Sus scrofa: one gene and its partners. The protein of the gene in region 6 purifies or fractionates together with the protein of the main gene of each other region. This does not show direct contact. Links are inferred from orthologs where the notes say so. Each region holds a gene or a part of one and is shown on either strand. Other genes may lie near its edges. The genes, in order: NADSYN1, HSPBP1, PPARG, PRMT5, PSMA3, STUB1 and BAG2.

Region 1 (3,500 bases), on a different chromosome or scaffold from region 6:
GCGGGTTCCATCCCTGGCCTCGCTCAGGGGGTTAAGGATCCTGTGTTGCCATGAGCTATGGTGTAGGTCACAGATGCGGCTCGGATCTGGCGTGGCTGTGGCTGTGGTGTGGGCTGGCAGCTGCAGCTCCGATTCGACCCCTAGCCTGGGAAGTTCCATGTGCCACACTGTGGCCCTAAAAAGACAAAAAGACCAAAAAAAAAAAAACCCCACCCCAGACGTGTGGCTTCCACTTGCAGACCAGCGTGTGTGCGCCTCTCTCCGCAGGCCCGTGATGCACCGCAATGTCCGGTACAACTGCAGGGTGATATTCCTCAACAGGTAGGTGACCCCGGCAGCAGAGTGACCTGCCTGCCCCTCCCAGGCTCAGGGCACGGCCCCGGGGGCCCGAGGGCTGGGAGGCGTCTTCTGGAGACACCTTGGTCGGGGCTGGTGTTCCAGGCAGGTGACTCAAGGGGCACCGCCTCTCCTGGTCTCTGCCACAGCTGACACCTGCAGGTATTCAAGGCCATAGGGTGGGGTTTGGGGACCACAGCCCTGTTACCGGGAGGTCAGTCCAGGGAGGGCGGCCTTCTCATGTCCCCTCGTGGTCCCTAAACATCTGCTGCCCACACATGCCCCGCTGCCAGGTCTTAGGGGCTCTGCCCCCCGTTGACAGTCCGGGTGGATGGCCCTGGGGCTGCTCCTTGTCACAGGGCGTGTTCGTCTCAGGAGTGACCTTGTCCCCCTGCTGTAGGAAGATCCTGCTCATTAGACCCAAGATGGCCTTGGCCAATGAGGGCAACTACCGGGAGCTGCGCTGGTTTACCCCGTGGTCCAGGAGTCGGTGAGTCTGCCCGACGCGCGGGGGCCTGGGTTGTGGCCGCCCCGTCGGTGTGCATGGAGCGTCTTTCCGTGTTTAGCTTGTGCAGGTCGAGGGGGACACAGCCCAGAATTCGGGGCAAAGTCCCTGCCCTGGAGTACTGTCATTTAGACGGGGCTGATTTGATGCTGCGGATGAATTCGCAGCCAGTTTATCAGCTGCAGCTCAAGGTCACCCATCAGCGCTCATCAGTCGTCCTGCATCGGACCCTGTGTATCAGGGTTTCTCGACTCCAGCCCTGTGGCTTGGGGGCCGGATCTTTCTTGTCGGGGTGGAAGGGGCGTCCTCGGCACACCGAGGTGTGCAGCGGTTCCCCTGGCCTACCTCGGCGAGGTACCTGTGTCCATTGGTGACAATTTAAAATGTCACCAGACATTGCCAAGTGTCCCCTGGGGACAGCGCTGTCCCTGGTTGCTGTATATTCTTCTCACAGTTATTTCTGTTTATTCACGGTTGCTGCTGTTGCAAAAGGAACCTTTAACATGATATTTTAAGTGGTTAATATTCTTTTTTTTTTTTTTTTTTTTTTGTCTTTTTGTCTTTTGTTGTTGTTGCTATTTCTTGGGCCGCTCCCGCGGCATATGGAGGTTCCCAGGCTAGGGGTCCAGTCGGAGCTGTAGCCACCGGCCTACACCAGAGCCACAGCAACTCGGGATCCGAGCCGCGTCTGCGACTTACACCACAGCTCACGGCAATGCCGGATCCTTAACCCACTGAGCAAGGGCAGGGATCGAACCCGCAACCTCATGGTTCCTAGTCGGATTCGTTAACCACTGAACCACGACGGGAACTCCTAAGTGGTTAATATTCTTATGCAGGAAGAGCTTAGGATTGTGTGTGTTGCTTTTGCCATTGGCCGCCTTCCTATAGTCTAACCTGGTCGTTATTCTACTGATTTCCTGGGTTCTCTTTGTTTCTCTCCAAGTAGAAGTTATATAACATGTAACTACCTTTGCTTCTTTCCAATACTTCCATCTCTCAGTCCGTTTTCAAAGCAGCGCTTGCTGGCCAGCACCTCTAGAACAATATCCTAGCTCATTTCTGGAGCAGATGTCTTGTCTGTTCCCCGACTTGACTCGGGGAGCTCTGCCTGTTTCTGCCTTTGGTTTGGCGTTCGTATCCATCCTTTATTAGTTTCGCTTTGGGGCCTTAAAATTAATGGCAAATGGATGTTGCACTGATCAGACGTCTTTTCAGCCTGTGTTGAGCTGAACGTAACGTCTTTGCATGTCTCCATGGACGCCAAACGGATGTGATGGATTAAGCTTTGATTCCATGTGTTCGTATTTACTCAGAATTTCTTTCTCTTTTCTAGATTCAGACGCCAGTATTATGTTAGTTAAAAATTTTAAAAAAAAATTTTTTTCTGTGCCCGGATGGCTTTAAATGTATGAATGGTATATTATCAAGTCATCGTATGGCTGAAATTCTCTGTATTGTTAGGAGTGTTGTGTCAAATCGTGTTTTTTAAGTGAGGTAGATAACATGCAATGAAATATGCAGATTTTAGGTGCTTTCTTTTTGTTTTTTTCTTTTCATTTTCTTTCCTTCTTCCTCCCTTCCTTCCTTTTTTCTTTCTTTTTCCTTTTTTGCCACGCCTCAGCATTTGGAGTTCCGGCACCAGGGATCAGATCAGGCCACAGTTGTGACCCACACCACAGCTGCAGCAACGCCAGAGCCTTAACCCACTGCACTGGGCCGGGGGTTGAACCTGCATCCCCGAGGCCCAGAGATGCCACTGACCCCTCGTGCCACAGTGGGAGCTCCTGGGTGCTTTCTTTTTGACAGTCGTGTGCCTTGGAGCAGTCACACCATATAGAAGCTAAAGCCATTTCCGCGGCGCCACAGCTCTTGCCAGCTGAGCCCCAAGGCTCGTCTTGTCCTGTCTTAGATGTCATGCAAACGGAGTGACACCTGTACGTTTTCTCATAACTGACTTCTTTTGCTCACCATGATGCTTTTGAGAGTCACGCAATGATTCATTCCTTTATATAGTACAAACCGTCGGCTCTTTTATATAATAACATGGTTTCATAAGTCAGAAATAATCCTGTGAGCAGATGACAAAAAACAAACAGACTCTCCTCGTCTGCCCCCGTCTCCGAGCCCTGCTCCCTGAAGCTGTCTCCGTCTCCTTTCCCATTTTTCTCCCTTCCCCGCATAACCTCTGCATTCTGCCTCAGTATTTCTAACTAAATGTGCAGACATTGCCATTTCCTGGTTTCCTGCTCTGGGAGGCCAGGGTTTGGCGCACTTTCAAGCGCTCGCTGTTAGTTTTTCTGCATCTCCTCTTCCTAAGACGGACATTTCACAGTTTTCTGGGTTTCTTAAAAAATGAAAATCCATCTGGGTCAGGTGGAAGACCCCCTTGGCTTTATGCAGTGGTTCAGGAGCCGGGCAGCCTCCCACCGTAAAGGGAAGGGCACCCCGACGGGTGTACGGGATGCAGAAGGAGGGCAGGACAAGAACAAGGGCAGGAGGGGAGGGACGGGTGGTTCAGGCGACCCTCTTCTTTGGGGGGGAGGACAGTAGCGTCTACATCACGCTGACCCCACCTCCCCAGTGTCATCAGGGAGTGTCACAGTGACTGTTCAAAGCTGACGTTTCTTGGAGGGGTTGAAACGGCAGCTGAGTCCTG
Region 2 (3,500 bases), on a different chromosome or scaffold from region 6:
GCGTTGCCGTGAGCTGTGGCGTAGGTCGCAGACTCGGCTTGGATCTCAGCTTGGATGTCTCATTGCTGTGGCTCTGGTGTAGGCTGGCAGCTGCAGCTCCGATTCAACCCCTAGCCTGGGAACCTCCATATGCTGGGGGAGTGGCCCAAGAAATGGCAAAAAGACAAAAAAAAAAAAAAATTTTATTGCAGTATGGTTGATTTACAGTGGCTGTTGTTGGTGATGACTGTTATTCATGAATTAATTATTGGTAAAGTTTGCCTCTTTCTTCCACCTCACTCCCCAGAGGCGCCAGTGGCTGCAGGAGGCCATGTCGGCCGCCTTCCGGGGCCAGCGAGAGGAGGTGGAGCAGATGAAGAACTGCCTCCGGGTGCTGTCCCAGCCCACACCCTCCTCAGCTGGTGAAGCTGAACTGGCTGCTGACCAGCAGGAGCGTGAGGGGGCCCTGGAGCTGCTGGCCGACCTGTGTGAGAACATGGACAACGCTGCAGGTACAGCCAGCCCACCTCGGCCTGCCTCTGGCTGCCAGGGTCCTGCCTCTTCTGCCTCCTGGCTTCCCTCTGCAGCCCAGCCCTTGTCCTTTGGCTCAGGGACCTCTGGCTCAGCCTCCTCCCCAGCCTCCCAGCCTCCAGCCTCACCCTTGCCGTCTGGCTCCGATTCAGGCCCCCGGTGGGACTCCCTGTCCCTCCCTGCTCGGTTCACTTGCCGTCAGGAGCATTGATGGCTGCAGGTTCAGTCCACCACCTCACCGATGCTCTCTGAAACTGGCCACGTCGCCCTCCTCTGCTGGGAGTCCATGGCCACTTCAGAGTAAGCCACAGGAAGTGTTCCTTGATGGGGGAGCCAGAGAGGCCCTCCCCGAGGGTGACACTTGGTTAGAGACCTAAAGCGAGGGCTCAAGTCATGGAATTAGCTCTGGAAAAGGCATTCCAGGAAGAGGGCACGGCCTGTGCCAAGGCCCTGCGGTGGGAACGCACCCGACATGTTCGGGAACAGCAGTGAGGCCAGCACAGCAGAGTGGAGGCCAGGAAGTGACACCAGGCACACCTGGCCTCATGGGCCAAGGTGGTGCTGTGGCTCTTACTCTCGGTGCCGAGAAGCTGACTGATGGACGAGTCGTCACTTCCACTTGGAGGGGCGTCGGTGTGGTTGTCGAGGATCTGGGTTTATCTGTCCTGGACATTGACGGATGAGGGGTCGTAGAAGGCATGACCTTTTGCAGCTGCCTTCCTTCCCTGAGGGTGATGTTTTCAAGGTTCTTCCACGTTGTGACTGGTATCAGAACTTTATTCCTTTCTGTGGTTAAGGCTGCGTGTCATGGATCCATTCATCAGCTGATGGGTATTTGGGGCAGCTACCCCTGGGTTATTGCACATGATGCGGCTGTGAACACTGGCGTGCAGGTGCCCAGTGGAGTTCCTGCTTTCACCGCTTTGGGAGATAACTAGGTGTCTTCGCTGATGACTTTCTGAGGAAGCGCCAAGCTCGCCAATAGGAAAACAGCCGGTGGGCTGTAGTTTGCAGATCACTGGTTTGGCGTGTGCTTCTCCCACAGGGCATGTCCTGGTGGTCACAGAGACGGGGTGTCCGGGCTGGCATTGAGGGGGCCGGAGCCTGGGAGCCCTGACCCTCCAAATGCTGACATCGTCGAGACACACTGTCCTTGGAGAGAGCCAGCCCTCGGAGGCAGGCTCCCCTTTGCCCTAAGAAAGCACCGCGGATTGGGGCTGAAACAGCAGAAGTCTACTTTCTCATAGTTCCGAGGCTGGAAGCCTGAGCATTGGTGTCTTCTGAGGCCCTTCCGGGCTCGTAGACGGCGCTCTTCTCACTGTATCCTCTTGTGGTTCCTCCTCCGTGGGTGTCTGTGTCCTGATCTCTTCTTATGAGGACACCAGTCATATTGGACCGGCGCCCCATCCTGTGACATCATTTCGCCTTAATCGCCTCCTTAATGGCCTGTCCCCAAATACAGTACTTCCTAGGACCCTGGGGGTTAGGACTTCAGTGGAAAGTTGGGGGTGGGCACAGCTCAGCCCGTCACACCTGTCTGCTCCCCTCTCTCCCACACAGACTTCTGCCAGCTATCTGGCATGCACCTGCTGGTAGGCCGCTACCTGGAGGCGGGCCCCGCGGGGCTGCGGTGGCGGGCGGCACAACTCATCGGCACATGCAGCCAGAACGTGGCGGCCATCCAGGAGCAGGTGCTGGGCCTCGGTGCCCTGCGCAAGCTGCTGCGCCTGCTGGATCGGGACCCCTGCGACTCGGTGCGCGTCAAGGCCCTCTTCGCCATCTCCTGTGAGTGTCCTGGGGCCGGGCTGGCAGGGTGGGGCCTGGGTCCACAGGGCAGGCGCCAGCCCTCCGATCTGCTTCAGGGCAGAGGGAGGGGGGCCTCATTTGTTGTTTATTCCCAGCACCTGTCGGGTCTCTGCTTGGTGCTGGGAACAGAGCTGTGCACTTGCCACCCGCTGCACTGGTCAGAGAGCCAGATCCTGGCGACACAGGACAAGGGCCCGCTCGAGTGCTTTTGGGCCCCCTCAGGGCTCTCAGCCAAAGTCCTGTTGCCATCTGGGACCTGATCACCCCCGTCATTGTGGAGGGGGCTCTCCAGGGGGCTGCTTGAGTGTCCTCACAACGTGTTAGCGGGCTTCTCCCAGAGCGTGCCAGCCAGGGTGCCAGGCAGGAGCTCCGAGAACTACAGTGCCTTTTATCTTTTTTTTTTTTTTGGTACCAACCCCTCTCTTGCCCCTTCCTCTCCCCTCTCCTTGCTGGTAACCTCTAGTTTGTTCTCTGCGTCTGTGAGTCTATTTCATTTTTGTTGTATTCAGTAGTTTGTCTTATTTTTTTAGATTTCAGAGCTAAGTCATTAACCTCAGTATCTGTCTTTTTCTGTCTGATTTATTTCATTTAGTGTAACAACTCCCAGGTCCATCCATGTTGTTGCAAATGACACAATTTCATTTTTTCTTCCTTGTGGCTGAGGCCTTTTATCTTTTTGAAAGTTGATGTTGGAGTTCCCCTTGGGGCTCAGGGGGCTAAGAACCTGACATGGTGTCCGTGAGGATGTGGGTTTGATCCCTGGCCTCGCTCAGTGGGTTAGGGATCTGGCGTGGTGATGGCTGTGGCAGCCTCTGGTGCCCAGGGCGGCCCCTGTGACACAGAATGATGTGGCGCCACCTGTCAGCTTTGCCAGGTGGCGAGGCCCTGTGTGAAGGGAAGGGTTGCTCCTGGACACATCATGACGGCGGAGCCAGCGATGGAGAGGCTTAGTCATGTCTACCCCTCCTCATAGGCTGGTACTTTTTTTTTCTTTTTTTTTTTTGTTAATTGGATGACATTTTATTTAACCCCTTATATTTAAATTATTGTCATTTCAGCCCCTCATTATGTGGAGTGCTAACGAGATACCTTGCATTTCTTTTTCCCCACGCTTTGTCCTTTTTTTTTTTGAGGGCCACACCTGCAGCATATGGAGGTGCCCAGGGTAGGGGTCAAATTGGAGC
Region 3 (4,156 bases), on a different chromosome or scaffold from region 6:
CAGCATTTTCCTAATTACAAAACTGACCACAATTCCTCGCCAACCTATCAGTATAAATCCTTTTTTTTTTTTTCTGGTAATGCATTATTCCTGTCAGGGAGAACTCCACATTTTTCATTATGATCTGGAATTTATGCTTAAACATTAACCAATGTTCAGGCATCAGCTGATGCAGTATTGCTGCATATGCTATAATTGGATAAACTTCATAATTAAATTTTTGAAAGCAGACTCTGATATGTAAAATCTAAACTGTATCAAGCCCTCTCTATGTCCAGTCTCTCAACTCTTTAATTGTATGGCATTTAGATAGCTGTCAGTATCATTTTTTACATACTTTACAAAGTAGTAGAATAAATACCTTAGAACAGAATATTTCAGTAGCTGATAGCAAATTTTAAACTATGAACACATGCTTGAATTCAGAAGTCTTCTTCAGATATCAGATAATGGGCAGACAGAAAAAAAAAAAAACTGTGTGCAAGTTGGTTTATCCGGTATTTCTTTTTAAAGAAATTTTTAAATTATAGTTGATTTACAATGTTGTTCCAGTTTCTGCTGTACAGCAAAGTGACCCAGTCATACACCTATATACATTCTTATATTATCTTCCATCATGTTCTATCCTAAGAAATTGGATATAGTTGCTGTACAACAGGACCTCATTGCTTATCCATTTAAATGTAATAGTTTGCATCTTAACCCCAAACTCTCAGTCCATCCCACTCCCTTTGTCTATTTCATAACTCAGGGATGTAAACTTTTCAATTAAGAAGCAATTGTGAGTTCCTGCTGTGGCTCGGTGGGTTAAGAACCCAACTAGTATCCATGAGGATCCGGGTTCAATCCTTGGTCTCACTTAGTAGGTTAAGGATCCAGCATTGCTGTGGCTGTGGTGTAGGCTGGCAGCTGTAGCTCTGATTCGACCCCTATCCTTAGAACTTCCATATGCTGCAGGTACAGCCCTGAAAAGACACAAAAAAGAAGCAAGTGGATGTTGAGCAGTCTCTTTGAGAGTTCTGAACACTGCACTGCTTGTGCCCCTCACAAGACACTGAACATGTGGGTCACTGGCGAGACAGTGTGGCAATGTATTCCTTGTAATGTACCAAGTCTTGCCAAAGCAGTGAACAATATTATGACACAACGTTTTGTCACAGCTGGCCCCTAACAGGAGTGTGCCAGCCAGTTCAGCCCTGGTCCTGTGGGAGTTGATTCCCACCTCTCCAGTATTTGGAAACTGATGTCCTGACTCATTGGTGCCTTCACCAGTTCTACAACCAGGAATCTTTTCCCTTTAATGGATTGGCCTTTTGCAAGAAATAGACAAAATATCAGTGTGAATGACAGCAAACCCCTATTCCATGCTGTCATGGGTGAAACTCTGGGAGATTCTCTTATTGACCCAGAAAGCGATGCCTTCGACACGCTGTCTGCAAACATTTCACAAGGTAAAGTCGGTCCAGATACGGCTACTGGGCACTTCGGGTGTTTTGGAAGGGTACAGTTGTTCTTGTAGCTTGTTTTCCAAGTTTTATTTGTTCTGATTCTATGATGTGTATGTTTCAGTCTCTTGCTGCTCTGTGTTCACTTATGCGTATATTCAGATCTTTAAAAAAAGAAACCTAATCTAATCCCTATTTTATCTGGGCACATGACTCCTGTGTCCTGAATTTTAAGCAACCAAAGTATATATTTTAAAATTTTTATTCATTTTTATTTTCTGAGTTTGCATTTTCCCCAAAACACCTAAGGTCTTTTTTTTAGAATACCTGGGGGGTCACTTTTTTCCTTTTAGCTTTACATGTCACGTGTCTCTCAGCACAGTTTTTCTCTCTCTCCTGGGATTTATTCCTCTTAAAGTGTCTTAGCACGTTTTTGTTCTACTTTGAAATCTAGATAATTGCGTATGCCTTGTATCTCTCCCAAAGAATCATAACTTCCAGAGTGGAAGACCACATTGTATTTTCCTTGTATTTGTTAGGATTACAGAGCATAGCACCTTAGGCTTTGTAGAACAGAGTGCACGGACCTTGGCGAAGGCCTCTTCTAAGCATCTCATTTTACAGATGGAGAAAATGAGGCCCCAAAATGCCTGTGGCAGGCTAAATAAATGATTATTCCTTTTACTCAGATATAAAAGATTCAAACAGATAACCTCATTTTCAGCATATCTTTCTCGGCCATTGCAAAATTATATTCTTTATTTCTACAGCTCCTTCTACTGGAGTGTCTTAGCACAGCTGCTTCTGCTTTATACTGTTTCGCATTTGTTTCTGTATTTCCATTTTTTTTCTCTTCTCAAAGATGCCACATAAAAATAGATTGTGTTAACTAGTCTGATTCCTATTTTATACTTTAAGTGCTTAAGCGTTAAAATTAAGTTCCTTAATTATTGAAATGGATGGCTTTACATTTTAATGTTTTAATTTTTCTGGAAGCCTAAAGTTTGAACATATTAATCACAGATTTTTTAAATATCAAGATTTGAAAATTATGAAAAAATATTTCCTGAAATAGCATTTCATTTTATTATGATGACTAGACTCAATGCATATTTGTATGGGAGTTTTGTTTCATTGTATTATATAAAAGTCTATTATTCTGTTTTTCTACAAGTCTGCTTTCTCTAGTTATTAATTTAGGCTGCATCAGGGCAGAATGTCCTAACTATACTGTAAAATTATTCTTGAGTCAAGATTTAATAGTTTTGTCTGTTTGAAAGGAATATTGAGTCAAGATTTAATAGTTTTGTCTGTTTGAAAGGAATATGTCCAGAATGCAGTACAACCAATATTTTAAATTAACTCGGGGGGCAAGAACTGGTTATGGTAAGCAATAGTTATGTGTTTTAAGTTAGTTTTCATTCTGTACTAGTCTCTTTATTTTTATGCCTTGATTTTGCCCTGGGTTTAATTTTTTGAGTGTCAAATCCGCTTCAAAAGAATAACCCAGTACTTTTCTTTTTAATTAACCTGGTATAGAATAAAATCATTAGCAATCAAGAAGTTATTTGTTGGGGAGTTCCCATCGTGGTGCAGCGGAAACGAATCCAACTAGTTAAGGATTCGGTGTTGTGGAAACGAACCTGACTAGTATCCATGAGGATGAGGGGTTTGACTCCTGACTTCACTCAGTGGGTTACAGATCAGGGATCCAGTGTTGCCATGAGCTGTGGTGTAGGTCGCAGATGTGGCTTGGGTATGGTGTTACTGTGCCTGTGACATAAGTAGCTTATGTGGTTTGGATCCCAAGTTGCTGTGGCTATGGCGTAGGCTGGCAGTTCTGATTTGACCCCTAGCCTGGGATCAGTGCTTAAGCATTAAAATTAATTGCATATGCTGCAGGTGTGACCCTAAAAATAAAAAAGAAAGAAATTATATATTGTACCATTTAACTCTTACGTTATATGGTCTCTGATTTTTCCTTATTCATAAATGTTTTTCTGTTAAAAATATGAGTTTCTAAAGGCTAAAGACCTGTGATAGCTAATAACTCTCATGGTATTTTGTAGGCGACCACAAACTACTTATTCCACACTTGCCGAAACAGACAAACTTGAAAATAAATTGGGAATATATCCAGCATTAGCTAATTGAGGCCAGCAGAGATGCTGCACTGTAGAGATTAGGTACTTGGGTAGATCCAGGAATGCATTTGGTCCTCTTCCTTATCACAGGTGAAGGGGAATCAGGGTATAACAAGGGTCAGGGTGCTACTGCTGAAGACAGAGGGACTTGCTGAGTGTGAAAAATCCAGATGTCCAGCTACATTGGTCCTATTCATAAACATAAAAACTCTACTCTCTGTGGGCACTATGCCCACATTTTCCTGGTCTCCATTATCACAGTGACTCCCTTTTTCTTACCTTCCTTTCTGGTTTCATCATGAGCTTTTCAGGGAACCCCAAGTAACCCCAAAGCTGGCTCTGAAACCATTTCCACTAGTAAAAATTGGCACAATTGAAGGGAAGCTTCCATAAACTCAAGCTGAATACGCCTCTTGCTTTTCGTGCCAGAATTAATCCTGCGTGAATTCTCTAATTTTAAGTTGTTGCACCAGAGCATTGAAAGATGATGACACACTTGTCCTTTGCAGCGGATTGAGCAATGGAAGTATGCCTTAGAGACGTGATAAGTGCTGCAAGAGATGATTC
Region 4 (4,234 bases), on a different chromosome or scaffold from region 6:
ACACAAGCACCTCCAACTCTTTTAGGCTTCATAGGCATTTTCGTAGTTCTCTGACTTTCTGACTTTCATCCTTTTGGGGCGCTTACAATGTATTCCCTTATAGCTTAGCCTATCCACACACATTCCGTGTTTCTCAGGACTCTGTCGTCCACTGCGGCGATCTCATTCGGTCTCCTGGCTTCAGTCACTATCTCTCTTCTGGCGATTTGCAAATCTTGTCTGGTTCAGATCACTGTTCATACAACTCTCTATTACACAGCGCCCCCTAGACGTCCAAGTCAGCATTTCCAAACCCCAGCCTCGATTCTCCCTAAACCAGCTTTTATCATTTGTCTCGCTCAAAGAGGCCAGAACTCTGGGCATCACCCCCAGACTTCCCTTTCTCAGACTCCCTGTCAGTCGGTCTCTAAATTCTGTCAAGGCCTCCTGCCTAGGGCCTTTTGTATTGATTCTCTTTTCCGTTCCCCGCTGCCAAGTCCGCAACACCTCTGGGCTTCCTGCCTTCAGGTATTTCTCCTGCCTAGATCTTTTTTTGCTTCATTCCTTTCCTTCTTTTCCATCCCTCTAGCAAGCATGGAAAAGAAAAATGTAGAGACTCTTTCCTGTCTCTGCCAGTCAATTCATAACTTCTCTCCACTGTAATCTCTCACCATGAATTCCTTTATCTTCAGTGGTGTGTGTGTTTCAGTGTTTGCTTTTTGTATTTGAGATACCGAATCACAAGGAATTTGTGGCTGAATTGCCACAATCTGTTTAAAAATATACTAAGGCCCATTCAAAATCCATTTTAAGAGCACCAGCCATTAACTCAGTTTTCTTGGTGCATTTGGATGCACCAAGGCAGGGACACAAGAACCATCTTTGAACTAGGTATTATTAAACGCTGGCATGAAATAGTTGCAGAATGCAATAACATTAAGACCTGAAAATGAGAGCGAGAGAGGACAGCGAAGAAATTTTAAAAGGGGGCATTAAAGCATTGCAGGGGATGCACCAAAAGCGTTAGCCCCACCGAGCCAGCCAGGAGTCGAACCTGGAATCTTCTGATCCGTAGTCAGACGCGTTATCCATTGCGCCACTGGCCCTGAGACGACTTCTTCGTTCTCAATGATGACACTTCAAGCTTATACTGCAGGGTTTCATGGGACGTGTAGTCTCTTACCGGAATTTTACCAGTACATGAAGCATTATGGGAGATCGAAGTTTGTCGAGAACCAGACCCTGAGATTGGTGACTCTTCCGGAGCCGTGCCCTACGTCACTGTGCAGCCTGCGGATTGGCAGGAAGAGCCACTTCCCACCCCTCCTCCACTTGCTCGGGACCCTGGGAGACGCTTTGGTTGTCAGGGAGACTCGTCCCGCCTTCCGGGGGCTTTTTTTCGGCTTTGTGATTGGCTGCCAGTGTCAGGGAATCTCGGCGTGGACTGCGCGAGGGAAAAGATGGCGGCGATGGCGGTCGGCGGTGCCGGTGGAAGCCGCGTGTCCAGCGGGAGGGACCTGAATTGCGTCCCCGAAATAGCTGACACACTGGGGGCTGTGGCCAAGCAGGGGTGAGGGCCTGGACTTCCGCGAACAGAATGCGGGGTCGGAACTCGGGGACTGAGAGGGGCAGACCAGTCATCCCTGGGAAGCAGGGGTGAGGGGGTCGGAGTGGATAAGATTAGGGTGGGAGAAACCGCTAGTCCATGTAGGGAGAAGCCTCCGGCCCTGGAGCGTAAGAGAAAGAGAAAGAAAGACATATTGGGAACGTGTGGTCCCTGAACCCCAAAGTCGAGAGAGTTATCAGGTAAACTCAAAAAGAGGGCGTACGACCTCAAGGGCCCTGGAGAGCGAGGTGCGAGGTTCTTGTCTCAGAGTGGGAGGAAGTGTTATGGGGCTAGGGAGAGGAGAGATGAACCTTGAGGGCTGAAGCCTGGGTAGTACTGGAGCAGATCTGGATATGACAGTCTTGGAAAATCAGTGACAACAGAGTAGAAAGTCCACGTGGCGTGGATTTTCATCTTTTCTCTTTTCTCATCTTTTCCATGGCTCTGTTCTGGGAAGAAATTGAGGCACAACGCAGTGGAAGTGATATTCCCTAAAATGGGCCGAATTCAGCAGCCCATTCGAGTGACTGACTAATGGCAGCTGAAAGGGTTGTGCAGAATGGAGATAGCCTAGTCCAATTGCTTGGATCGCTGGGCACTGCTACTCTCTTTACATGACGATTCTGGGTCTGTCGTGGTTGTAGGTTTGATTTCCTCTGCATGCCTGTCTTCCACCCGCGTTTCAAGAGGGAGTTCACTCAGGAACCTGCTAAGAATCGGCCGGGTCCCCAGACACGATCAGACCTACTGCTGTCAGGAAGGGGTAGGGACCATCCCACATGCCCCTTAATTATTAGAGGCAGTAACAACTTATGTTTTATCAGTGCCTTCTTCCTCTTCCTTTCTTGACCTGGATGTATTTGTTCAACCCTGGGATATGGATAACTCTTGTTCTCTCCTTGCTTACTGCTCAAAGCCTTAGTTTCCTATTCTGCATCAGGCTTTCCTGTATCTGTGATAGAAAAAGCCTTTTGTCTCTCATCTCTACTATTCCCTGTTAAGAAATAGAAATTGAATGCATAAAGTGCTGAACCTCACTCAGTCTTTGTCTTTCTTGGGTTGGGGAGTGCAGACTGGAATACACTAATTGTGGGCAAGCTTTCCCCATGGATTCGTCCAGACTCAAAAGTGGAGAAGATCCGCAGGAACTCTGAGGCGGTAAGACTGACATCTTCACCGAATCTTTCTAAAGATCAGATCTGTAAACAACCTGGATGGGGAGAACAGATTTTTCCCCTCCATAACTTAGTAAATCTGATGTAATGCACTTAAAGCTGTTTGAGGAGTTCCCCTTGTGGCTTAGTGGTTAATGAATCAAACTAGCATCCAGTGGGGGAAAAAACTGTAACTGCAATGTATACATCTAAGGATGACCTGACCCCCTTGCTGTACAGTGGGAAAATAAAAAAAAAAAAAAAAAAAAAAAACTAGCATCCATGAGGATGAGGACAAGGGTTCAGTCCCTGGCCTTGCTCAGCGGGTTAAGGATCCGGCATTGCCGTGAGCTGTGGTGTAGGTTGCAGACATGGCTCAGGTCCTGAGTTGCTGTGGCTGTGGCGTAGGCCGGCGGCTTCAGCTCTGATTGGACCCCCAGCCTGGAAACCTCCATATGCCGTGGGTGCAGCCCTAAAGAGACAAAAAAAAAAAAAAAAAAAAGGTTGTTTGAGTTGCTAGCTCTTAACTTTGCCTCTTGTTCTCCATTCTAGGCTATGTTACAGGAGCTGAATTTTGGGGCCTATTTGGGTCTTCCAGCTTTCCTGCTGCCCCTAAATCAGGAAGATAACACAAACTTGGCAAGAGTTTTGACTAATCACATCCACACTGGCCACCACTCCTCCATGGTATGGCTGAGGGCCTCCTTTCCTGCTGCACATTATGGTAGTCAGGCTGTGCTAAATATCTTCTTTTCCTAGCCATTCAGTAAAGGGTGCATTAGGCAGAATTTAAATGTCAGTCCTGCCTACCCACAACTAAAAGTGGTAAGCAGAGACTTATAAAATACATAGCATATTCTATTATCTCCAGAAACTTATAATAAAGTAAAAGACAGGGCAGATACTTACATAAGGATGTACACGAGATACGTGTGCACATACATAAAATCACAATTGGGAAAAGCATGTAAGGGGATTAAGTTGAAATCTAGATCAAGATCTTTTTATTTATTTATGTTTAAGCTTTTTTTTTTGTCTTTTCAGGGCTGCACCTGTGGCACATGGAGGTTCCCAGGCTAGGAGTCAAATCAGAGCTGTAGCTGCCGGCCTACACCATAGCCACAGCAACGCCACATCTGAGCCGTGTCTGCGACCTACACCACAGCTCATGGCAACATCAGGTCCTTAACCCACTGAGGGAGGCCAGGGATCAAACCCACAATCTTAGCTCTTAGTGGTTCTTAGTCGGATTCGTTTCCCCTGTGCCATGACAGGAACTCCTGGATCAAGATCTTTTTAATTGAAAGAAGCTTCTGGACCCAATGAGTTCAAAATAGAGTTCTAAATAGGGCAGAGAGGTGTTTTCTTGTGGCGCAGTGGGTTAAGAATCTGGTGTTGTCGCTGTTGCGGCTTGGGTTATTGCTGTGGTGGGGTTTGATCCCCAGCCTGGACACTTCCACATGCCAAGGGCACGGCCAAAAATAAATTAATTAAT
Region 5 (3,500 bases), on a different chromosome or scaffold from region 6:
ATCATGCTAAGTGAAGTCAGCTGTACAATGAGACACCAACATCAAATGCTTTCACTGACATGTGGAATCTGAAAAAAGGACAGACTGAACTTCTTTGCAGAACAGATGCTGACTCACAGACTTTGAAAAACTTATGGTCTCCAGAGGAGACAGTTTGGGGGGTGGGGGGATGTGGTTGGGTTGTGGGATAGAAATCCTGTGAAACTGGATTGTGATGATCACTGTACAAAAAAACTAAATAAGTAAGTGCAGCTGAAAAAATAAAAAGATAAAAGTATATCAGAGAGATATTAATGAGAAAACTGAAGTGTCACTATAGTTGCCTAGTTAATAATGACCACATGGAATACATTTAAAATCCATTTGCAATTTACTGAAAATTTCTGGGTCTAGTTCCAGAGAATTTTTTCCCTAATTTTACTGAGAAATAATTGACAACAGTCACTTTATAAGTTTAAGGTGAACATCATGATGATTTATACACATTGTGAAATGATTACAACAGGTTTAGTTAACATCCATCATCTCATACAGGTACAATTAAAAAAAAATTCCTCCTTGTGATGAGAACTAAGGACCTACTTTCTTAAAAATTTTCCTTTTTATCATGCAGCAGTGTTAACTGTAGTCTCATGTTGTACATTACATCCCTCATACTTATTTACCTTAAACTTTACAAGTTTATATACCTTTTGACCACCTTCCTCCAAAGAATTTATTATAATCAGATTAAAATATTACTGAGTTAGGTTTTATCCTCAGTTCAAATCTGCATAGCCTTTCATTTTTCAAAGTTTTAATTTTTACATACAACATTTGATTTAATCATTGCCCTAACACTTCTTGATTACAGTTGTTTTGGGGGGATTTTTTTTGTCTTTTTAGGGCCACACCCACAGCATATGGAGGTTCCCAGGCTAGGGGTTGAATCTGAGCTACAGCTGCTGGCCTACACCACAGCCACAGCAATGCAGGATCCTTAACCCACTAAGAAGGTCAGGGATTGAAGGTATCCTCATTTATGCTAGTCGGATTTGTTTCCACTGAGCCACGACGGGAACTCCAACAGTTAATTTTTTAAGGGTAAAAAAGTCTAATAACATGCTGGGAAAACAGATACTACAGTACAGATATGAATGAATATCTCACAAAATTTCATACCTGCAGCCAAAAGGTCTAACAGCACTGTAGAGGGTATAGGCATGTACATACATGGCCACTCTGTCTGCAAGATGCTGTGGGGGAAAAAACAAAAGAACGTATTCATACTCTTTTCTTACTATTCAAAAGGCTCCTCAACATGTTACCAACTTACTTTTAGTGGAATGTTATATCCAAAGTTAGACCTAAAGTTGGAAGCCTCTTCTCTTGCAATGTCTGCTAAAGAACGAGCATCTGCCAACAAACCTGCTACTGCCTGAAAATAAAAAAATAAAAAAAAAAAACAACTATCAATTCAGTAGGTAACATATCTATCACAAATCACGGGAAGTATGTAATTATTACAGGCTTATTTGATTTTTTTTGTTTTTTTAACAAGCACCATTATTGGAATAAATTTTTTTGGCTTTTAAAGGTCTTTACAAGGCATTTGGCATTTTGATGCTTGAGTATGGGATTATAATTTGGGAATTTACTAAATGTGACTTCACTGTTTTGTCCAGTGATCACCTTCAGAAAAAACCTTCATGTCTTCCCATTTACAGCTTTATTATGAAGAGTAAAACAACAGGAGTTCCTATAGTGGCTCAGTGGTTAAAAAACCCGATGAGCATCCATGAGGACACAGGTTCAATCCCTGGCCTTGCTCAGTGGGTTAAGGATCCGGCACTGCTGTAAGCTGTGGTGTAGGTCACAGACACAGCTCAGATCCTGTGTTGCTGTGGCTCTGGTGTAGGCTGGCGGTCAAAGCTCCAAATGGACCCCTAGCCTGGTAACCTCCATATGCCTGAGGTGCAGCTCTAGAAAGATAAAAAAAAAAAAAAAAAAAAAAAAAAAGGATAAAACAACAAAGAGAATAAAACCACTAGTTTTGGTCAGGACTGATCTTTATTTGAAGTATTCTATATTCAAAGTTTATTAAAAGTTTTAATCTAAAAGGCACAATTTTATGTCTCCTTCTTTTTCAGCCAACTGACTACTAAATTGTAATGCCAAACCAAAATATGACAAAGCCCAAATTTTCCAAGAATAGTGGCTTAGAACTGCAATTACCAAACCTTGTGCTGAGATACCCCAGGGCACTATAATGAACTCAGAGTTGTGGACATTTTAAGTTTGAGGGAGACATCTGTTGAAGTAGTTCACAGTTTTAACATTAGAGCATTCTGTACTCCTTTCAAAGCTATGGTATCATTGAGAGAAGTTGGGTTGCTGTGATATAAAATAAGTACTGTGCAATAATCAATGCCGAAGAGGAAATGGAGTGGGGCTGGGGCATAGTATCTAATCCAGTTTCAAAGTTTTAAGTAGTTGTACACTGTACATTAGTAATTGTGATTGTTTAAAAATAAAAATATTTTTCTTTGCTAAATGTGTATGTTTTTTCTTACAGCTACTAAGTTTTTAGGACATAAACACTTAGCTGTTTGGACCTGCATATATAATAAACAGAACCATTGGGTATTTTGTCTAGGGAAGCGATGAAAACAAAACAAAAAAAATTATTGAAATACTTACAGGTATAAAGAACCAAGAAAGTCTGGCAATCAGTTGGCAAAGAAGGTTTGCAGAATTTAAAATAAATGCTGTCAGAATTTTTAATAGTCTTATTTTCTAATATTACCAAGTAATAGTAATAACTATGAAAATCTTTAACACATATTGAACACCCATTACACGCTCAGCATTTTACATAATAATGCACGAGGGGAGGTACTATTACTAACATAGTTTTGGAGGTGAGGAGACTGGTGTTCAGAGTAACTTCCACAAGGTATATTCAGCTAGTTTAAGTTTTACCATTTGAAAAATCTTCCCTTGCTTTAGAGAAAACTTACTGTGAAGTCTAATAATCTATCAAATTCCTTGATGACAATTGTGGAGACAGAACGTTATCCTTCATTTTCTCCAGCCCTCCTCAATGTCTCATGTTTTGCCAATTCCCAGCTATAAGGAATGCCATCAATTTCCTGGCTTTAAATAACAAGTGGGACACATCTGAAAATTCTAGAACAAAAATTTTTTCCATCACTAAAGTGCCTACAAGGCTATATGGTTTTTGTTTTTTGTTTTTCAAAATACACCTACCTAAAGTTTTTACTACATGAAACAATGCAGGATTCACTAGTTTCCTGCCAGCTAGGTTACAATAATAAAATCTGTTCAGGAGAGAAAAGTTTCAGAAAATAAAGCAAAAAAAAATTATTTTTATCTTATCTGTAGCTTTATAGTTTACTGGTTATATTTTTACCAGTCGTTCTTGTGTTTGTATATAACACATCTCATTGAGAAATAACAAAGCTACTAGTATTTCAGCAGAATGAGTAGATCAAATAGGA
Region 6 (4,141 bases):
GGGCAGCAGGTCAGGGCACAGCTTCTGCCCTATAGCCCAGGTCCACAGGGCTGTCTCCACACGATGCGGGGTCCACAGCCCTGAGGCACTGCCTAAGGAGGGGCAACAGGGAGTCTGGGGCCCAGGTCACCCTGCTCTGCTGGGAAGCTCTGCACCCTCCACCCTGACCAGAGTCCTGAATGCCCTCCCTCGCTGCCAGCAGTCTCCTCACCATGGCTCAGAGCTGTGGCTCGCTCCTGCACCCGGCTCAGGTACAGCAGGTAGTGCTTGAGGGTGTACTGCAGGGCTGGCAGACCGGGCACCGCGGCCACTGCCTCCTCAGACATGAAAGCTGCCACCTCGGGAGCTCCGGCAGCCAAGACCGCTATGGGCAGCAAACAGCCAACACTCAGGCCCCACCAGCCTCAAGACACCTTCGGGGCTGCCATTCGCAACAGCTCTTGGTGTCATGAACGTGGCCATCAGGCGATGTCCCAGGCAAATGTACTAACAGACCAGGTTCCGCCCGCGACCCTGCCAGGGCGCCAGGCTCTCCCGACTAACCCGAGGCCGTGGCCGGGCCCACGCCCCGCAGGGCGCGTAATTCCGTGACCGCGGCGTGCATGTCTGGCAGGAGGGGGAAGGCGGCAGCCGAGTGCTGCACCACCAACTCCGGGGCGTTGGCGCTGACGAGCTGATGCAGGCGCGGCCTGAAGCGGCCCCGCTGGTCAAGTCGGGGTGGGGGTCACGGGTGCTGGACCTCGCTAGGGGCCCCGCCCCACAGCGCGAGGGCCCGCCCCCGGGCGAGCCACGCCCACGCCCACACCGCTACGCCCCGCCCCGGAAGGAGGCCCCGCCCCCCAAGTGGGAAGTTCCTCACAGCCAGCTTCCAAGCCAGCAGCTGCCCCAGCTCTTCTCGAGTCACGTGCTTCTCCTCCCGGCCCTCGATGGCTGCGGGCAACGCCTCTCGATACCTGGAGAAGAGCTGTGACGGCGACTCCGGGCCACGGGGGTCCCCCGCCCACCCGATGCCCCTATCACCCTACCATCGGTCCAGGGCTTCCAGCCGCCCCTGGGGGCCCGCGCGCGCTCGGAGCACTTCCCCGTGGCGGCCCAGGACGGCGGCCCAGAGGCTCGGGTCCTCACAGCCCCAAAGGCCGCGGGCCGCCGCCATGTCCACGCGCCGGGGCAGGGCTTCGGGGGCGGGGCGCCGGGGCGCCGGGGTGGGCTTCCGCCCCGACGACCTCGGCTCTCCTCAGGTTGCCGACGCCGCGCGTCGAGTCGCCGCGAGCGCACGCTCCCTGCCAACCCCGCCCCCGCGGCGCGTTGGGGGCACGCGAGGCCCCGCCCAACCGCACGGCCGGAAGTTCCGGTGGCAGAGCGCAGGACTGGGCCCGAGCGGATCGCGGGCTCGGGGTGCGGGCGCTGGGCGGGCCGGGCGCGGAGCCTGGGAGCGGAGCCCAGGCCGTGCCGCGCGGCGCCATGAAGGGCAAGGAGGAGAAGGAGAGCGGCGCGCGGCTGGGCGCCGGCGGCGGCAGCCCGGAGAAGAGCCCGAGCGCGCAGGAGCTAAAGGAGCAGGGCAACCGGCTCTTCGTGGGCCGCAAGTACCCGGAGGCGGCGGCCTGCTACGGCCGCGCCATCGTGAGTGCGCCCGGGCCGCGGGAGGGGGCAGGCGTCGGGGCCGGAGGAGGGGCCGGGCCGGGCCGCGGCTTCGGCCCCGCGTCCTCCCCGGAGCCCCTGTCTGGCCGCCCCTACCGGACTTTCGGAGGGGATGCACTTCGGCTCTGAGGACTGAGTGATCTTCTCTCAGAGAGGCCAAGGCTACGGCTCCCGAGCCAGGGTTGGTGGTCAGAGAACTGTGGCGGGTGGGAGCTTCAGGGTGCTTGCAGCCCACTGGGCTGGGGGTCCAAGCCCAAAGCTGGGGATTTTCAGGAGTCTGGGAAACCTGTCTTCGCAAGACTCGTTGGAGTCGAGGGGGCGGGCTCAGGTAGGCTCCACCCTTCCTCCGCGCCCAGAGACCTGGGTGCTGAGAAACCTCTAGTGTCTTGATTCCAGCCGTGGGTCTCAAGCTAGGACAGAAAGGGCAGGCTGAACTCACTCCCTCATGTTGGCTGGTCCGGCCTTGGTCCCCAGACCCGGAATCCCTTGGTGGCAGTGTATTACACCAACCGGGCACTGTGCTACCTGAAGATGCAGCAGCACGAGCAAGCCCTGGCTGACTGCCGGCGCGCCCTGGAACTGGACAGCCAGTCTGTGAAAGCACACTTCTTCCTGGGGCAGTGCCAGTTGGAGATGGAGAGCTATGATGAGGCTATTGCCAACCTGCAGCGAGGTGGGCTTGCTGGCTGGCCTGTTCCAGGGTGCCTGGGACCAGGCGGGGGGACTGGCTCGAGGGTTACCCGGATCCTTTGTTCCCCCAGCCTACAACCTGGCCAAGGAGCAGCGGCTCAATTTTGGGGATGACATCCCCAGTGCTTTGCGCATTGCCAAGAAGAAACGCTGGAACAGCATCGAGGAGCGGCGCATCCACCAGGAGAACGAGCTGCACTCTTACCTCACTCGACTCATTGTGGCTGAGCGTGAGAGGTGGGCTGTGGTGTTCATGGGCTCCACCCCACCTCCCAAAGTCACCATTCTTTTTTTCCTTGTTTTTTTGTTTTCGTGTCTTTTCGCCATTTCTAGGGCCCCTCCTGTATCATGTGAAGGTTCCCAGGCTAGGGGTCCAATCGGAGCTCTAGCCGCCGGCCTACGCCAGAGCCACAGCAATGCGGGATCCGAGCCGTTGTCTGCGACCTACACCAGTTCTTGACAACGTCGGATCGTTAACCCACTGAGCAAGGCCGAGGTTCAAACCTGCAATCTCATGGTTCCTAGTCGGATTCATTAACCACTGAGCCATGACGGGAACTCGCAAAAGTCACCATTCTGAGTCGTGAACATAAGCGTTTATTGAGGACCAGCCTGGGAAAGCAGGAGATGAGGGAACAGGGCCTGAATCGGCCCAAGGTGGAGTCTGATCTCCTCTGGCCAGACCCATCTCTGATCAGCTGTGTGGTCCACCCCAGGGAGCTGGAAGAGTGTCAGCGGAACCACGAGGGTGAAGAGGATGACGGCCACATCCGGGCCCAGCAGGCCTGCATCGAGGCCAAGCATGTGAGGGTGCCCTGCCCACGTGTGGGTCCTGTGTGTATTTGCACGTGTGTGATGTGAGGTGACCCTGGCTCCTGTTGGGTCTTTGTGGGCGGGGTGCCTGGGGAAAGGCGACAGGGGCTCAAGCTTCTCTGGAGCTGCCTGGTTTTTTGTAGGATAAGTACTTGGCAGACATGGATGAGCTCTTCTCCCAGGTGGATGAGAAGAGAAAGGTAAGCTGCCTGTTCCCTGGGCCCTGTGGGTAGCAGGAGCCAGGGCAGTGCCCCTTCCCGCTCCTGACCTGAGCTTGGGTGCTGCAGAAGCGAGACATCCCTGACTACCTGTGTGGCAAGATCAGCTTCGAGCTGATGCGGGAGCCGTGCATCACGCCCAGTGGCATCACCTATGACCGCAAGGACATTGAGGAGCACCTGCAGGTAAGGGTCCGTAGCCGCTGGGGGCAGGGCCCACACCCACTGGGCATCTTCTCATTCTGATCCTGTTGCCACTGCAGCGCGTGGGCCACTTTGACCCTGTGACTCGGAGCCCCCTGACCCAGGAACAGCTCATCCCCAACCTGGCCATGAAGGAGGTCATTGATGCGTTCATCTCGGAGAATGGCTGGGTGGAGGACTACTGAGGCAGGGCAAGTGGGTGGGCCCCTCACCCACCCTGCCCAGTATCCTGGCTTCTTGGGAGGGCCTTGGGGCAGCAGCCCCTAGCCTCTGTACATAGTTCGTGTCCCTGGATCCCCACCCTGGTATCCCCAGCCCCAGCCCCACCAGTTCTGCTGGGCCATGAGGCTCCCCCATCCTCCTGTGCCAGAAGCGGCAGGTGAGGGTGGGCCAGGCCGAGGTTGCTGCTGCCACCACTGTCCCTGTAATAAAATCTGTGAGCACTATGGGGGCGTGTGCTGGTGTGCAACGGCTTACCAGCCACCCCCTGGGTTAGCTGAGGAACGTAGAGATGAAGACGCTGATGTCAAGGTTGAGTGTGGCGTGCCACCATCGGTCAGGGAAATACAGCACCTAGT
Region 7 (4,248 bases), on a different chromosome or scaffold from region 6:
AAAATGACCTGGGAAAATCATGCATTCTTCTTCCACTTGATCTTCTAGGTAGGATTCTAGGTTCTGAGAGTGCACTCCACTCTCCATGGCTCACATGGTTTCAAAAACTCCTGTTTTTACCCACCTTCCCAAATGCTTCCTAAGTTTTCACTCAGCGTTACTTTTTCTAAAAGCAAGAAATAAAGCTCGCAAAAGTCTACAATTACTGGGAAGGTCCTTAAAATGAACAACTAGACACACATTAATCAGCCTTTCCTCCTCAGTTCAAGAGTTAATTCGGCAAAATACAATTTAATTGCTTGTACTCAGTAATCAGAATTCGCTTCACATCAATCGCTGGAACACAATATTCAAAACCAAAGCCTTCCTGGTAAAGACGAGCACTTGGCTGCTTTCGTACGTGAGGCACTAGTTCAAGTCTGAGGACCACCACTCAAGCTTGAAGAAGGAGGCGGGGGCAACATCCCCCACGGTCCCTGAAGAAGAAACCCTTCCTTTCTGATGGGGTGTGGGGGTGGGGAGACCCCAGAAATGGTTGAGAACATGCCCCTCCAAGTTCTAAAGCCCGGGAAGATGACAAGACCCCTTTGCGATGCGATGAAAAAAGAAAAGGCAGTCTGCCGGGGCGGGGGTTGGAAAGGGGACAACACACGACATTCAGGAGCACTGGCTTCAGCAGGTCCAGCCACGGGAAGCACTGCTCTCCCCTTATTCCATCTGTGTCATTCCCAGCAGGACCCCAGAACCAGTCTGGGTTCTGGTTTCCATTACTACCCACAAAATCATGATGGTGGAGAATTTATTTTCTTTTTTTTTTTTTCATTTATAATGATATTTCTTCCATTATAGCTGGTTTACAGTGTTCCGTCAATTTTCTACTGTACAGCAAGATGACCCAATCACACATACAGGTATACATTCTGAATTTATTTTCCGAGAAGACATTGTTTCTTGCCATCATCATCAATAACAAATTTCAAATGATAAATACTAAATTTTAAAATGATTAATATAGGCCTCACTTGCTTAATGCTAATTGATAAATAATAAATGCCTCATTCAGTTAATCATGATAAATAATGAAGAAATGCCTCATTTGGTTATTAGTGTACTTTATGAGTCATAAGACCCCTCCCGTTTTGGTGTATTAATCAAGGGAGGTAAAGGCAATTCTTGAAATGTCTACCTTACCTACTCCTTTGCTCATCCAGAACCTGGTGCAAACTATGGAAAAAAATGCGGAGGTTTAAGGGAGTTGTGGGTGCCCCAGTTAAGATTTTCATAAAACTACACTTGCACACAATTTATACAGTAGCTTTTGTGACCTGAACCTTTACGAGAAGTACATCAACGTTTTCATACATTGTGGAAAGAGAAAAGTAGGTCCAAAACTTCTTGCATAGGCTTTAGGCATCCCAAGGAGCCTACCACCCCATCTGCCGCTAGGAGAGTCCCTGGCCACCCGGTTCTACAGGAACTGACAGCACAGCCTGGAAAGAATTCAGACGAGCAGGAATGAGGAGGCTCTGCGCTCTGGGAAAACTGGCGGAACAGGCCCACAGAGAGAGATTTTCAGGAAAATTTAATGAACCCAGATTCTTGCATCTTCCCACACGCAGAAAAGCACTAAAACCATTGAGGACACATCTGCTCTCCCGACCAGCAGCGACCTTCTATCAAAACGTGCGCTCGCCCATCTACCCCGCCCTCAAGTCCCCTCCGTGGGGCCGGGGCGGCGCTAGAGGCCCCCCCACACCCCCAGGTGCTCAGCACGCCCCCCAACAGCGCAGCTCGGGCCCCCTCACGCGGCTTTATTTCAAGCCACACGTTGATTCCTTATTAAAACCTGAATCAGCTAAGAGTGGAAACAGGTGACCCCTGTGGTTTCGGGCCAGCAAACTGCACTTGGAAGGTGGGAGCGGCTCTTGGTGGGGGGAGCCCGGCGCCGGGAAAAACGCAGAGGGGACCGGGCGGGCGCCCCACAAGTGCCCTCGCCCCGCCCCGCCTTGGGATCCGATGGGGCCCCGAAGCTTTATTCTGAGATATTGCTCTTAAGTGTTGGAAGCAAAAGAATGGATCACTGACCTTGGGACCATTAGACCGCCACCCGTTCAGAAAGAGCATCTCAGGGAGACCCGACCGAACCCCTGGCGTGCAGAAGGTTCTGGAAGCTCCGCGGACCCGCGGTGTCAGCCCAGCCCCAACCGCCAGCGGCGTCCCTACCCTTCACCTCCTCGGCTTCCCCCGCTCCCGCGCAGGCAAGAGCGCGGCCGCCGGGACGCGGGGCCAAGGGACCGCCGGACGGACAGGCTAGCGAGTGCCCCAGGGCCGGGGTCCGACCGCGCCCGGATCCGCCCGCCGCCCCGCACACCTGAGCTCCAGCTGGTCCAGGCTCTCCAGCAGGCGGCTGGAGCGGTCGGCCATGGACGAGGAGCGGCAGAAGCGGCCCTCGTTGGCCTTGGCGCTGATCCTCGCCTGAGCCATCTGCGCCCGGAGGCCCGAGGTCACCGCCGTCACCGCGCCGCACGCCTCTCTCTGACGCGCCGCCCGCGCCCGGGCTGGGGATCCGCGGTCTGGGTGGGGACTGGGGGCCAGGGGACTGGGGGTCGGGGGGCGCGGGTGGTCGAGCAAGGACTGGGGTCCGGACGACTGGGGGCCAGGGAACCGGGGCTCCAGACGCCAGGGGAACCCAGGGGCGCGGGGCGCTGGCTGACCGCGCGCGGGCGGTAGGAGGAAGCCGGGCGGCCTGCGGGGCGGCTCACGTGGCGTCGGGCCCGCTCTTCGCCTGGAACACCGCCCCCAGGGCGGAGCCCGCGCCCCCGGCCCGGCCCGGCCCAGCCCAGCCCGCCCTCCCGCCTCCCGCGCGCAGAGCCGGGCCGCCGGGGCCGTGTCGCCCGACCTGCCTGGCCACCAGGCCCTCTCCGGAGATGAGAACGAGGCTAATAGAGCGCGCGAGAAAAGGCGCCCCTCTTACCACCCAGCGGGACGTAGGAAGGTGAACTTCCTTTATTTTCAATGACTTTCTTCTGTTCAAAAGTTATTTGCTGGAATTTAAGTGAAATGGTTAAGACCCTTTCACACCCAACTTATTTAAATCTCCTGTTAGGAAAAGATGCCGTAGGCCACGAGGTCAGACACCATGAAGGTCAGTACAAGTGGAGTGAATGTTGTGGGGAGCTCGCTGCTTCACGCTGCAAGAATGAGAAGGTACAGGGCACTTCAAGTGGAGATAATAACACTTTAAAGCTGGATCACAACCTTTAATCTGAGATCAAAGCCATGTAAATAAGTGAACAGAGATGAAGCCCTTAAGGCTGGATGGCAATTTTTCTGAACTTAGACTCCATGTCGATGAATTGTTGCTGGAGGGGAATATTTGACATCATTAAGTATATTCTCTCATATCATGACACGAACAAAGAATCCTTCCACTTTTGGAGAATGGAAGTCTATCAGGTGACTTCAGCATCACCCTGGACTCTCATGCCAGAGACCCAGTCCCCTCCCCTTCAGGGTGCACCCAGCCTGCCTTCCCTCCTGGACCAGTGGCCTGCCCTCCCACTTGCACCCCTGCTTCTGCTCTCAGCTGTTTGCACTCAACACAGCCCCACAGCAGTCCAAGTACAGCAGGTCACACCACTTACTCTCAGAAACCTTCAGGGCTCCTCCTTTCCAGGGTCTTCAGAAAAGGTCTCTAAGGATGCCACCTTGCATTGCCCTCTGAGCTCATCCTGCTCTTCTAGACCTTTTCACCCTCTTCCTAGAGCTCGCCCACCTTCAGGTCTCCTGAGCTTCACCTGGTCAGGGTCCTTCCCGACCACCCTGTTGGAAATAACTGCCTCCCCCTGCCCAGCCCCATGCTCTCCCCCCTTCCCTGTTTCACTATCTTATCATTCGAGGTTCTATCCAACCCCCTCCCCGAGTGCTCCAGAGTGGGGGCTTTGTGTGTGTGTGTGTTGGGGGGGGATCTCAAGTGCCGAGAACAGTGGCGAACACATGGTAAGTAGCCAAGAATACTTTGTGAGTGGGTGAACAAATAAATGATTTGAAAGAAATTGAAAAGAAAAAAATGATGCTCTTTAAATTGAGCCCCAGCCTGCTGAGTATCAGAGCTGCACTTGCCAAGGGAGCCCAGAACAAACCCGTGTCTTGTTCCCCAGCGATGTCAGAGAGGAGAGCCAGGCCAGCAGGCGGGTAAGAAATAGGACAAAGGGCTGGGCTGGTAGGACACCAAGGATCCAAAAAAAA

Evidence for each region.
Region 1: the proteins of STUB1 (region 6) and NADSYN1 purify together in Homo sapiens (co-immunoprecipitation; 3 studies listed by BioGRID and IntAct, with this or other methods). This does not show direct contact. The link is inferred for Sus scrofa from reciprocal best matches to the Homo sapiens genes STUB1 and NADSYN1.
Region 2: the proteins of STUB1 (region 6) and HSPBP1 purify together in Homo sapiens (affinity purification with western blotting; 4 studies listed by BioGRID and IntAct, with this or other methods). This does not show direct contact. The link is inferred for Sus scrofa from reciprocal best matches to the Homo sapiens genes STUB1 and HSPBP1.
Region 3: the proteins of STUB1 (region 6) and PPARG purify together in Homo sapiens (affinity purification with western blotting; 3 studies listed by BioGRID). This does not show direct contact. The link is inferred for Sus scrofa from reciprocal best matches to the Homo sapiens genes STUB1 and PPARG.
Region 4: the proteins of STUB1 (region 6) and PRMT5 purify together in Homo sapiens (affinity purification with western blotting; 3 studies listed by BioGRID and IntAct, with this or other methods). This does not show direct contact. The link is inferred for Sus scrofa from reciprocal best matches to the Homo sapiens genes STUB1 and PRMT5.
Region 5: the proteins of STUB1 (region 6) and PSMA3 purify together in Homo sapiens (affinity purification with western blotting; 3 studies listed by BioGRID, with this or other methods). This does not show direct contact. The link is inferred for Sus scrofa from reciprocal best matches to the Homo sapiens genes STUB1 and PSMA3.
Region 7: the proteins of STUB1 (region 6) and BAG2 purify together in Homo sapiens (affinity purification with mass spectrometry; 7 studies listed by BioGRID and IntAct, with this or other methods). This does not show direct contact. The link is inferred for Sus scrofa from reciprocal best matches to the Homo sapiens genes STUB1 and BAG2.

Annotation. Positions count from the first base shown.
Region 1 is NC_010444.4:2,362,357-2,365,856, reverse strand, and holds part of NADSYN1 (glutamine-dependent NAD(+) synthetase), read left to right. Parts: intron 1-267; coding exon 268-321; intron 322-736; coding exon 737-826; intron 827-3,500. UniProt on the Homo sapiens protein: Catalyzes the final step of the nicotinamide adenine dinucleotide (NAD) de novo synthesis pathway, the ATP-dependent amidation of deamido-NAD using L-glutamine as a nitrogen source.
Region 2 is NC_010448.4:59,458,034-59,461,533, reverse strand, and holds part of HSPBP1 (hsp70-binding protein 1), read left to right. Parts: intron 1-286; coding exon 287-491; intron 492-2,070; coding exon 2,071-2,295; intron 2,296-3,500. UniProt on the Homo sapiens protein: Inhibits HSPA1A chaperone activity by changing the conformation of the ATP-binding domain of HSPA1A and interfering with ATP binding. Interferes with ubiquitination mediated by STUB1 and inhibits chaperone-assisted degradation of immature CFTR.
Region 3 is NC_010455.5:68,362,645-68,366,800, forward strand, and holds the start of PPARG (peroxisome proliferator-activated receptor gamma), read left to right. Parts: upstream 1-1,356; 5' UTR 1,357-1,372; coding exon 1,373-1,451; intron 1,452-4,098; exon of another isoform or gene 4,099-4,156. UniProt on the Homo sapiens protein: Nuclear receptor that binds peroxisome proliferators such as hypolipidemic drugs and fatty acids.
Region 4 is NC_010449.5:76,109,571-76,113,804, forward strand, and holds the start of PRMT5 (protein arginine N-methyltransferase 5), read left to right. Parts: upstream 1-1,434; 5' UTR 1,435-1,439; coding exon 1,440-1,549; exon of another isoform or gene 1,550-1,785; intron 1,786-2,229; coding exon 2,230-2,348; intron 2,349-2,657; coding exon 2,658-2,743; intron 2,744-3,291; coding exon 3,292-3,426; intron 3,427-4,234. UniProt on the Homo sapiens protein: Arginine methyltransferase that can both catalyze the formation of omega-N monomethylarginine (MMA) and symmetrical dimethylarginine (sDMA), with a preference for the formation of MMA.
Region 5 is NC_010443.5:187,355,731-187,359,230, reverse strand, and holds part of PSMA3 (proteasome subunit alpha type-3), read right to left. Parts: intron 1,418-3,500; coding exon 1,316-1,417; intron 1,236-1,315; coding exon 1,162-1,235; intron 1-1,161. UniProt on the Homo sapiens protein: Component of the 20S core proteasome complex involved in the proteolytic degradation of most intracellular proteins. This complex plays numerous essential roles within the cell by associating with different regulatory particles.
Region 6 is NC_010445.4:41,092,382-41,096,522, reverse strand, and holds STUB1 (E3 ubiquitin-protein ligase CHIP), read left to right. Parts: upstream 1-1,341; 5' UTR 1,342-1,461; coding exon 1,462-1,620; intron 1,621-2,112; coding exon 2,113-2,311; intron 2,312-2,399; coding exon 2,400-2,565; intron 2,566-2,902; exon of another isoform or gene 2,903-3,044; coding exon 3,045-3,132; intron 3,133-3,284; coding exon 3,285-3,341; intron 3,342-3,428; coding exon 3,429-3,545; intron 3,546-3,622; coding exon 3,623-3,748; 3' UTR 3,749-4,009; downstream 4,010-4,141. Other genes in the region: uncharacterized protein LOC100524737, read right to left, coding at 1-92, 212-364, 544-703, 860-953, 1,026-1,153; JMJD8 (jmjC domain-containing protein 8), read right to left, coding at 4,056-4,136. UniProt on the Homo sapiens protein: E3 ubiquitin-protein ligase which targets misfolded chaperone substrates towards proteasomal degradation.
Region 7 is NC_010449.5:28,677,698-28,681,945, forward strand, and holds the start of BAG2 (BAG family molecular chaperone regulator 2), read right to left. Parts: upstream 2,801-4,248; 5' UTR 2,485-2,800; coding exon 2,372-2,484; intron 2,235-2,371; exon of another isoform or gene 2,097-2,234; coding exon of another isoform or gene 2,086-2,096; intron 1-2,085. UniProt on the Homo sapiens protein: Co-chaperone for HSP70 and HSC70 chaperone proteins. Acts as a nucleotide-exchange factor (NEF) promoting the release of ADP from the HSP70 and HSC70 proteins thereby triggering client/substrate protein release.